Oryctolagus cuniculus: one gene and its partner. The protein of the gene in region 2 interacts with the protein of the main gene of each other region in a pairwise test. Links are inferred from orthologs where the notes say so. Each region holds a gene or a part of one and is shown on either strand. Other genes may lie near its edges.

Evidence for each region. The genes of interacting proteins can lie anywhere in the genome.
Region 1: the proteins of GFAP (region 2) and UBASH3A interact in binary tests that used the Homo sapiens proteins (3 or more experiments, as listed by UniProt). The link is inferred for Oryctolagus cuniculus from reciprocal best matches to the Homo sapiens genes GFAP and UBASH3A.

What each region holds. Positions count from the first base shown.
Region 1 is NC_091435.1:3,148,185-3,151,829, reverse strand, and holds part of UBASH3A (ubiquitin-associated and SH3 domain-containing protein A), read left to right. Parts: intron 1-2,362; coding exon 2,363-2,571; intron 2,572-3,645. UniProt on the Homo sapiens protein: Interferes with CBL-mediated down-regulation and degradation of receptor-type tyrosine kinases. Promotes accumulation of activated target receptors, such as T-cell receptors, EGFR and PDGFRB, on the cell surface.
Region 2 is NC_091448.1:18,168,144-18,172,488, reverse strand, and holds the start of GFAP (glial fibrillary acidic protein), read left to right. Parts: upstream 1-1,536; 5' UTR 1,537-1,557; coding exon 1,558-2,018; intron 2,019-2,873; coding exon 2,874-2,934; intron 2,935-3,142; coding exon 3,143-3,238; intron 3,239-3,809; coding exon 3,810-3,971; intron 3,972-4,345.

The DNA of each region.
Region 1 (3,645 bases), on a different chromosome or scaffold from region 2:
TGTGCCGGCCCAGGTGGGGACGTGGGCCCGTGTGTACGGCTCCGTCAGCCCAGGTGGGGACGTGGGCCCGTGTGTGTGGCTCCATCAGCCCAGGTGGGGACATGGGCCCATGTGTACGGCTCCGTCAGCCCAGGTGGGGACGTGGGCCCGTGCATGCGGCTCCGTCAGCCCAGGTGGGACGTGAGCCCGTGTGTGTGGCTCCGTCAGCCCAGGTGGGACGTGAGCCCGTGTGTGTGCTGCACTGGCCCTGGTGGGATGTGGGCCCCGTGTGTGCGGCTCCGTCAGCTCTCACCATGGGAGGCGAGTAAGCGCACAGCCACCCCGACGGCACTGCCCTGGGCCCCCACGGGAGACGTTTGGGTAGAAGACAGGAGCTCTCTCTCTACAAGCATGACGTCCTCATGCAACTGCAAGTCAGCATCTCACACACACACACCACACACACGAGCCACAGGTGCACGGAGATCCCAGGACAAAGGGGGCACTTCCGGTTCAGAAAGCCCACTGGTGACGGAACCGAGCCGCGTGGTGGTGGGGTGCGTCTCCAGGACTTCTGCCCTGCGAACCGAGTGGCTGAGAAAGGAACCACATGGACCAGGGACTAGGACCGGAGAATCCACCATGCCCTGTGCACGGGAGAGCTGAGGGAGCCTGTTTAAAAAAATGTTTTTTGGCTGGCGCCGTGGCTCCCTAGGCTAATCCTCCGCCTTGCGGCGCCGGCACACCGGGTTCTAGTCCCGGTCGGGGCACCGGATTCTGTCCCGGTTGCCCCTCTTCCAGGCCAGCTCTCTGCTGTGGCCCGGGAGTACAGTGGAGGATGGCCCAGGTGCTTGGGCCCTGCACCTCATGGGAGACCAGGAGAAGCACCGGACTCCTGGCTTTGGAGCAGCACAGTGCACCGGCTGTGGCGGCCATTTGTGGGGTGAACCAACGGAAGGAAGACCTTTCTCTCTGTCTCTCTCTCTCACTATCCACTCTGCCTGTCACAAAAAATGTTAATTTATTTGTTTGAAAGGCAGAGTCAGAGAGAGCGAGCGAGCGAGAGCCCCTCCATCTGCTGGTTCTCTCCCTACATGGCACTGACAGCCAGGGCTGGGCCGGGCGGAAGCCAGGAGCTCGGGCTCCACCCAGACTCCCGCGTGGGTGGCCGGGGCTGGGCCGTCATCCATGCTTCCCAGATGCGTTAGCCGGGGGCTGGATGGGAAGTCAGCAGCTGGGAATTCAACCAGCGCTCACACGGCTGCGGGCAGTGCAGGTGGCGGCTTAACCGGCTGGGCCACCACGCCAGCCCCTGTGGACCTGTGGACGTGAACGCGCGTGAATGCCTGGTTACCCGAGCAGAGCCTTCATGTAAGAAACGGCCAAGTGCGTGGACGCAGGGCGCGGGACGCACAGCGAGCAGGCGCGGGGGTCTTCAGTATTCCTGAGAAATACGTGTGGCGAGGAAAGCGCGTGGTCATTTCGCACCAGAATCACCATCTTTTTGTACCATTTATTCACAAACTTTTTTTAAAAAGATTTTATTTATTTATTTCGGGGGCGGAGTTACAGACCGGGAGGGAGAGACAGAGAGAAACTCCCTAAATGGCCACAACGGCCGGAGCTGGGCCGATCTGGACCAGGAGCCAGGAGCTCCATCCGGGTCTCCCCCGTGGGTGCAGGGGCCCAGCTCCCAGGCCGTCTCCCACTGCCTTCCCAGGCCATTAGCAGGGATTGGGTCTGAAGTAGAGCAGCCAGGACTTGAACCAGCGCCCATATGGGATGCTGGCACCACAGGTGGAAGCTTAGCCTACGACGTCACAGCACTGGCCCCTTTTTCACAAACTTTTAAAAAAGATTTATTTATTTATTTGAAAGACAGAGTTTCAGAGAGGCAGAGAGAGAGAGGTCTTCCATCCACTGGTTCACTCCCCAGATGGCTGCAACGGCTGGAGCTGGGCTGATCCAAAGCCAGGAGCCAGGAGCTTCTTCCGGGTCTCCCACGTGGGTGCAGGGACCCAAGCACGTGGGCCATCTTCCACTGCTTTCCCAGGCCACAGCAGAGAGCTGGATCGGAACAGGAGCAGCCGGGACTCGAACCTGCGTCCATATGAGATGCAGGCCACAGCTTTACCTGCTACGCCACAGGGCTGGCTCCTTCTCACAGACTTCTCAAAGTGCCCTCATAGATACCAAAACTTATTTTTGAGTCTCCCCGGAGAGTTCCATGCCATCATCTCTGTCACGTGTCACTAGACAAAGGCACGCGTGGGGTCTCGGGGACCCCGGCCGAGCCCCGATGCCGGCCCCGAGCCGGCCTCCTGCCACGGAGGGCCCCACAGAGGCCCCGGCTCCAGACGTGAGCGCAGTCTCCACTTTCCAGACCCTGAGGGCGCTGTTCCGGTACGAACCGCAGAACGAGGACGAGCTGGCGCTCAGCCCCGGCGACTACATCTTCGTGGACCCCACGCAGCAGGAGGAGGCCAGCGAGGGCTGGGCCGTGGGGACGTCGCAGCGGACCGGCTGCCGCGGCTTCCTGCCGCAGAACTACACGGAGAGGGCCAGCGAGGCCGACACCTGGGTGAAGCACAGGTGAGCGCCGCCCCGCCCCCGGCCCCGCCCTCCCTGAGCCCCGGTCTGGCGGGGGCCACAGCGGCCACGCGCCCCAGACGCCCCGTCACTCACACAGCTGCCTTCTGGGTCCTAGGAACCCAGGGGCTTCCTCGATGGGTCTGAGGCTTCTGCCGATGGTGTTTAGAAAAAGCGAATGATTCCATGTTTACTGCCTAAGGCAGTCACCCCCACCCCCACGTCACTGCACAACCGCCGGCTCGTCCATCCCTCTGCCTGGCGTGTGAGCAGCGAAGCCCGGTGCACTGTGGGTTTTCTGTTGCCGTGGACAACTGACCACACGTGCAGCAGCTGAATCAGTCGGGACCCTTTCTCAGAGTGCTTGCGGGTCCGCAGCCAGGACGGGTTGAGCCGGTCCCCGGCTCAGGACCGCACGAGCCGTGACCGAGCTGTCGGCCGGGGCCAGGGTCTCACCTGTGGTGGTGGAAGTCATTCCTGGGAGCTGCCGATCCCTGGGGCGTCCTGCCCGGCCAGGGTCTCTCAGCCCGGCGCCTTTGGCATCAGCAGGGTTAAGTTTGGTCCCACAAGGAGGAAGAACCCAGGCGAGACTTGGTTGCTATGAGTAGAAGTATCCGTGGCTGCGTCACCAGCCTCACCACTTACAAGTTCCACCTCCTGGGGCTGGCGCTGTGGCTCACTTGGTTAATCCTCCGCCTGTGGCGCCGGAATCCCATATGGGCGCCGGTTCTAGTCCCGGCTGCTCCTCTTCCAGGCCAGCTCTCTGCTGTGGCCAGGGAGGGCAGTGGAGGATGGCCCAAGTGCTTGGGCCCTGCACCCTCATGGGAGACCAGGAGAAGCACCTGGCTCCTGGCTTTCAATCGGCACAGCACTGGCCATGGCGGCCATTTGGAGAGTAAACCAACGGAAGGAAGCCCTTTCTCTCTGTCTCTGTCTCTCACTGTCTAACTCTACCTGTCAAAAAAAAAAAAAAAAAGTTCCACTTCCCATGCCCACTCCCCGTCACTACATAATAAGGAACCCTTCCTCCAGTTTTTATATTTATTTTATTTATTTGAGAGACAGACACAGAGAGAG
Region 2 (4,345 bases):
GGAAGCATGTGCGTGGTCTGGAAGGGCACCCAGGCGTAGGGATGAGCACGGGGACCAGGGCTGCTCCCTGGACTGGCTCTGCCCTTCAGGTCCCCTGTCCATCCCCCAGCAGGCTCCAAGGTCACTGCATGTCCCCTCCTTAAGATCCCGCTCCTCCGGTCACTGCTCAGGGCCCGGGGTCAGATGTGGGACAGCTTTGCTCTGGGACACACAGGGGGACCTCAGCAGCAGCCTGCCACGTGTCACACGTCCCTGTGTGTTGGGAGGGAGGGGCCTGGGACTGAGTTGGTGCTGAGGGCTGCGGGGGTGGGGGGGCAGCCAGGCTTTTCTGCAAGTGGGGCCTTTCCTCCCTGCCCGCTGAGTGACTCACCTTGGCACAGACACAATGGTCAGGGCGGGCACCCGGCCTGCACCCCGCTGCACCCCAAGTCCCCGCAGATGCTTTCCGAGAAGTGCATTGAGAAGGGGCTGTGCTGCACCCCCCCCCGCCCCGGCCTGACAGCCTGGCATCGTGGGATAAAAGCAGCACAGCCCCCTGGGGGCCGCCCTTGCCGTGCAGCGCCCTCCCCGGCGCCAGAGAACAAGGCTCTGTTCAGCAAGTGCCCGGAAGACGGGCCAGAGGGGCAGGGGTGGCGGGGAGGCTGCAGGGGGGAGTCTGCTTCCCAGAAGTCCCAGGACACAGACGACGAGGGGCCTGGCGGGCTCCGGCCCTGTGCGAGCAGAGTGGAGGGGTGAATGGACCTGAAGCTCAAGGACAGCGGGGTCCTGGCCCCAGCCCCTTGCCCCCCTGCATGCCCCAGTGGCTTCTGGGTCCCCAGAGCCACCCAGCCTGGGATGCCTTTTCCGTCTTCTCTGCCTGAAGCTTCGGAACGCAAAGGAGATTAATCTCGAGTGGGAGAGTGAGGGCCGCCAGGGAAACAGAAACAGAGCTTCCCACGGGCCAGCCAGCTCATTCGTAACTGCTTTGTAGAGCTGTCTGGGAGGCCAGGGGAGGCGGGCGAGACCGCGGGAAAGGGGCTGCCCATCTGCCCCAGCCAGCCCGCCACACTCCCTCACTCCCTCGCTCGTCCCCTGCTCCATGAGACACTGCAGACAAAGAGCCGGGGGTGGGGGGGGCCAAGCCTGCAGGCCGATCCCAGGAAGAGGGAGAAGGCTGGACCATGGGGTGGCCGTGTTCAGATGGGGGATGCCAGGTGCGTGCTGGGGCTGGGGCTTTTCCTGGCCTGCACGGCCCGTCTGTGCTTCATTAAATTTAAGGCAGGCCCTCTAGGATGGAGGCCTGGGTGAGCGCTCAGAGCTCTGGAAAGCAGGTCCTGCCCCTTCCTAACCCACCTTCCCAGAGAAAGGGTCTCCCCGCTCAGAAGTCAGGGCTTCAGGCCCAGGCAGCACAGCCCCGGCCAGGAAGCAGCGCCCTCACCCTCGGTGGGGAGAGAGGAGCGCATCCCATGGCTGGGCTGCAGCCCAGCCCCACCCTCTCAGGCTATGCCAGGGGGCGTTGCCCCTCCAGCCAAGGCTCCATAAAGCCTGCAGCCCAGGAGTCGGCAGAGCTGGGCCAGGATGGAGCGGAGACGCATCGCCTCTGTTGCTCGCCGCTCTTACACCTCCTCTGCCGAGATGGTGCTGGGGGGCTCAGCGCCCGGGCGCCGCCTGGGGCCCGGCGCCCGCCTCTCCCTGGCCCGAACATCTGTTCCACTCCCGGCCCGGGTGGACTTCTCGCTGGCCGGCGCACTCAATGCCGGCTTCAAGGAGACCCGGGCCAGTGAGCGAGCCGAGATGATGGAGCTCAATGACCGCTTTGCCAGCTACATCGAGAAGGTTCGCTTCCTGGAGCAGCAAAACAAGGCGCTGGCCGCCGAGCTCAACCAGCTGCGGGCCAAGGAGCCCACCAAGCTGGCCGACGTCTACCAGGCTGAGCTGCGGGAGCTGCGGCTGCGGCTCGACCAGCTCACGGCCAGCAGCACCCGGCTGGAGGTGGAGAGGGACAATCTGGCGCAGGACCTGGGCACCCTGAGGCAGAAGTGAGGACTGGGCACAGGGACCGGGCCCGCAGGCGGGGAGGGAACGGCTGCTGCCTGCAGAGTCCAGGACAATGGGGCTCTGCCCCACTGCTCCCTCAATTCCCCTCCCTTTGCTCTCCAGCCCGATGGGAGGGTCTCAGGGACCCTCAGCACCTCCCCACTGGGGAAGCCGAGCCAGCAGCCAGGGGCCCGGACTGTGTGGTTCCTTCACTGGGCCTTGGGACCACAGTTGTGGAGCTCATCTATTCTAACCCCCCCCGGGGGGGGGTCTCTCTAAAGAAGGAACTGGAAGAGAAGCTGGGGTCCCTGCGGAGGATTGGGTCTGGGGGACAGGAAAGAGTGGGCAGGCCTAGGTGCCAAGCACAGGTGACTGCCCTGGCCCGGGCTAGTGACCCCAGTGGAGTTGCTCTGCCCCCCCCCCCCCCCCGCAGCTGGGAAGCAGAGAGCATCAGAAAACCCATTTGCAAAGGCAGTTCCCCGGGCTCGGAGGAAACCCCAGGGCCAGGGGCACGGGCCTTGCTGAGCCAGCAGGGCAGGTGTGCCCTCGAGGGCAGGGCGATGCATGTGTTTGCCCATGCGGAGCAGGTAGACGCTCGTGGACGCGCCTGTGTGAGCAGGAGCAGGTGCAGCGACCCTGGCAAGGCACTTGAGTAATGAGTTAAAGCCAAAGCCCTTGGCTGCTCACCCTCCGGGCCAAGGCCTCTGCAAAGGCCGTGGGTGGCCCTTCCTCCTCCTGTCACTCTGGGGCTGGGAGGGGTGTCTCTGAGCCAGTCACCCCAGGGAGGTTGGGGCAGGGGTCCAAGAGTCCTCTGAAGAGCCTGGACCCAGGAATTGTCTCCCCCACCCCCACCCCAGGCTCCAGGATGAGACTGAGCTGAGGATGGAGGCTGAAAACAACCTGACCACCTACAGACAGGTCAGAGGGGGGAGGGGAGGCGAGGGGAGGGGCATCAGAGGGGGAGGGGAGGGGCGGGGCAGCCCATCCAAAACACAGCCCCCAGCCCAGCCCAGCCCCCAGAACCATGTGCTGTTCCCCCATCCCAGGAGGAGGGGCGAGGCAAAGCCGGGCAATAGGGAAGAGGAGTCTGGGGTCAGAGTGGCCCTTTGCCCCCTCCACTCTCCAGGAGGCGGATGAAGCCACCCTGGCCCGCCTGGATCTGGAGAGGAAGATTGAGTCCCTGGAGGAGGAGATCCAGTTCCTGAGGAAGGTCCACGAGGAGGTGAGGACGGGCGGCGGGGGAGTGAGGACGGGCGGTGGGAGGGGTCCAACATGGGCCTGCGGCTGGGAGACAGACAGAGGAGGAGGGAAGCAGTTGTAAAAAAGCAGGAGTAAGCGCGAGAGAGCGCTCGACGCCAGCCTCTGTACACGGCCGCACTCCCTTTCTGAGAACAGGCCCGCACAGCCCCACGACACAGGGCCCTTCCAGAACCATCTACTTTTCACCGAGCACAGTGGGACCCAAGGGGCTAAAGAACATGCCAGGGTCACACGGTCAGTCCCTCTGCCTCTGTCTCCGGGAGAATGAGAGCCATCATGTATTTAAAGAAAAAAAAAATCCCTCTGCACGCTGACCTCAGAGCCGCGCATCAGAATCCTTGGCCCCAGGGGACCTGGCGACCCTCAGGGACATCCCTAGCCTCAGCTGGGCCACCTCCTCCCACAAGGGCTGCCCGGTTTCCCCTGGCCAACACCCACGGCTGAGAGACAGGCAGAAGCGGGTGCGATGCTGTGCAGAACCCCAGCCGCAGCCCGGGCGCTGAGCCGGGGACCCCTTCTCTCCCCCTGGCCAGGAGGTGCGGGAACTCCAGGAGCAGCTGGCCCAACAGCAGGTGCACGTGGAGCTGGATGTGGCCAAGCCCGACCTCACAGCAGCCCTGAGAGAGATCCGCACGCAGTACGAGGCAGTGGCGTCCAGCAACATGCACGAGGCCGAGGAGTGGTACCGCTCCAAGGTAGCCGGAAGCCGGCTTGCCTCCTCCAGGCAGCCCTCCTTGTTCTGTTCAAGAGAATGAAGCAAGGAGGGTAGAGGAATCTGGGTGGATGTGCCCTCTGGGTGACTGGCCTTCATCAGAGAAGCGAGATAACTTGCCTAGGGTGACACGGGCACAATTACTCCAAAAGTACTCACGTTATTATTGCTGCTGTTACTACTGTCAGCCAACATTGGGGCATGCCAGGCCACTCAGGAGCTGCATTCTCCTGCCAGTGTCCCGAGTTCCTGAGCATTCACCGCAATGCCAGGAGCCTCCTGGGGTACACAGAGGAGCCTGGCGGGGAGATGGGATGTGGACCCAAATATGACCCCACAGAGACCACAGCGCAGTGT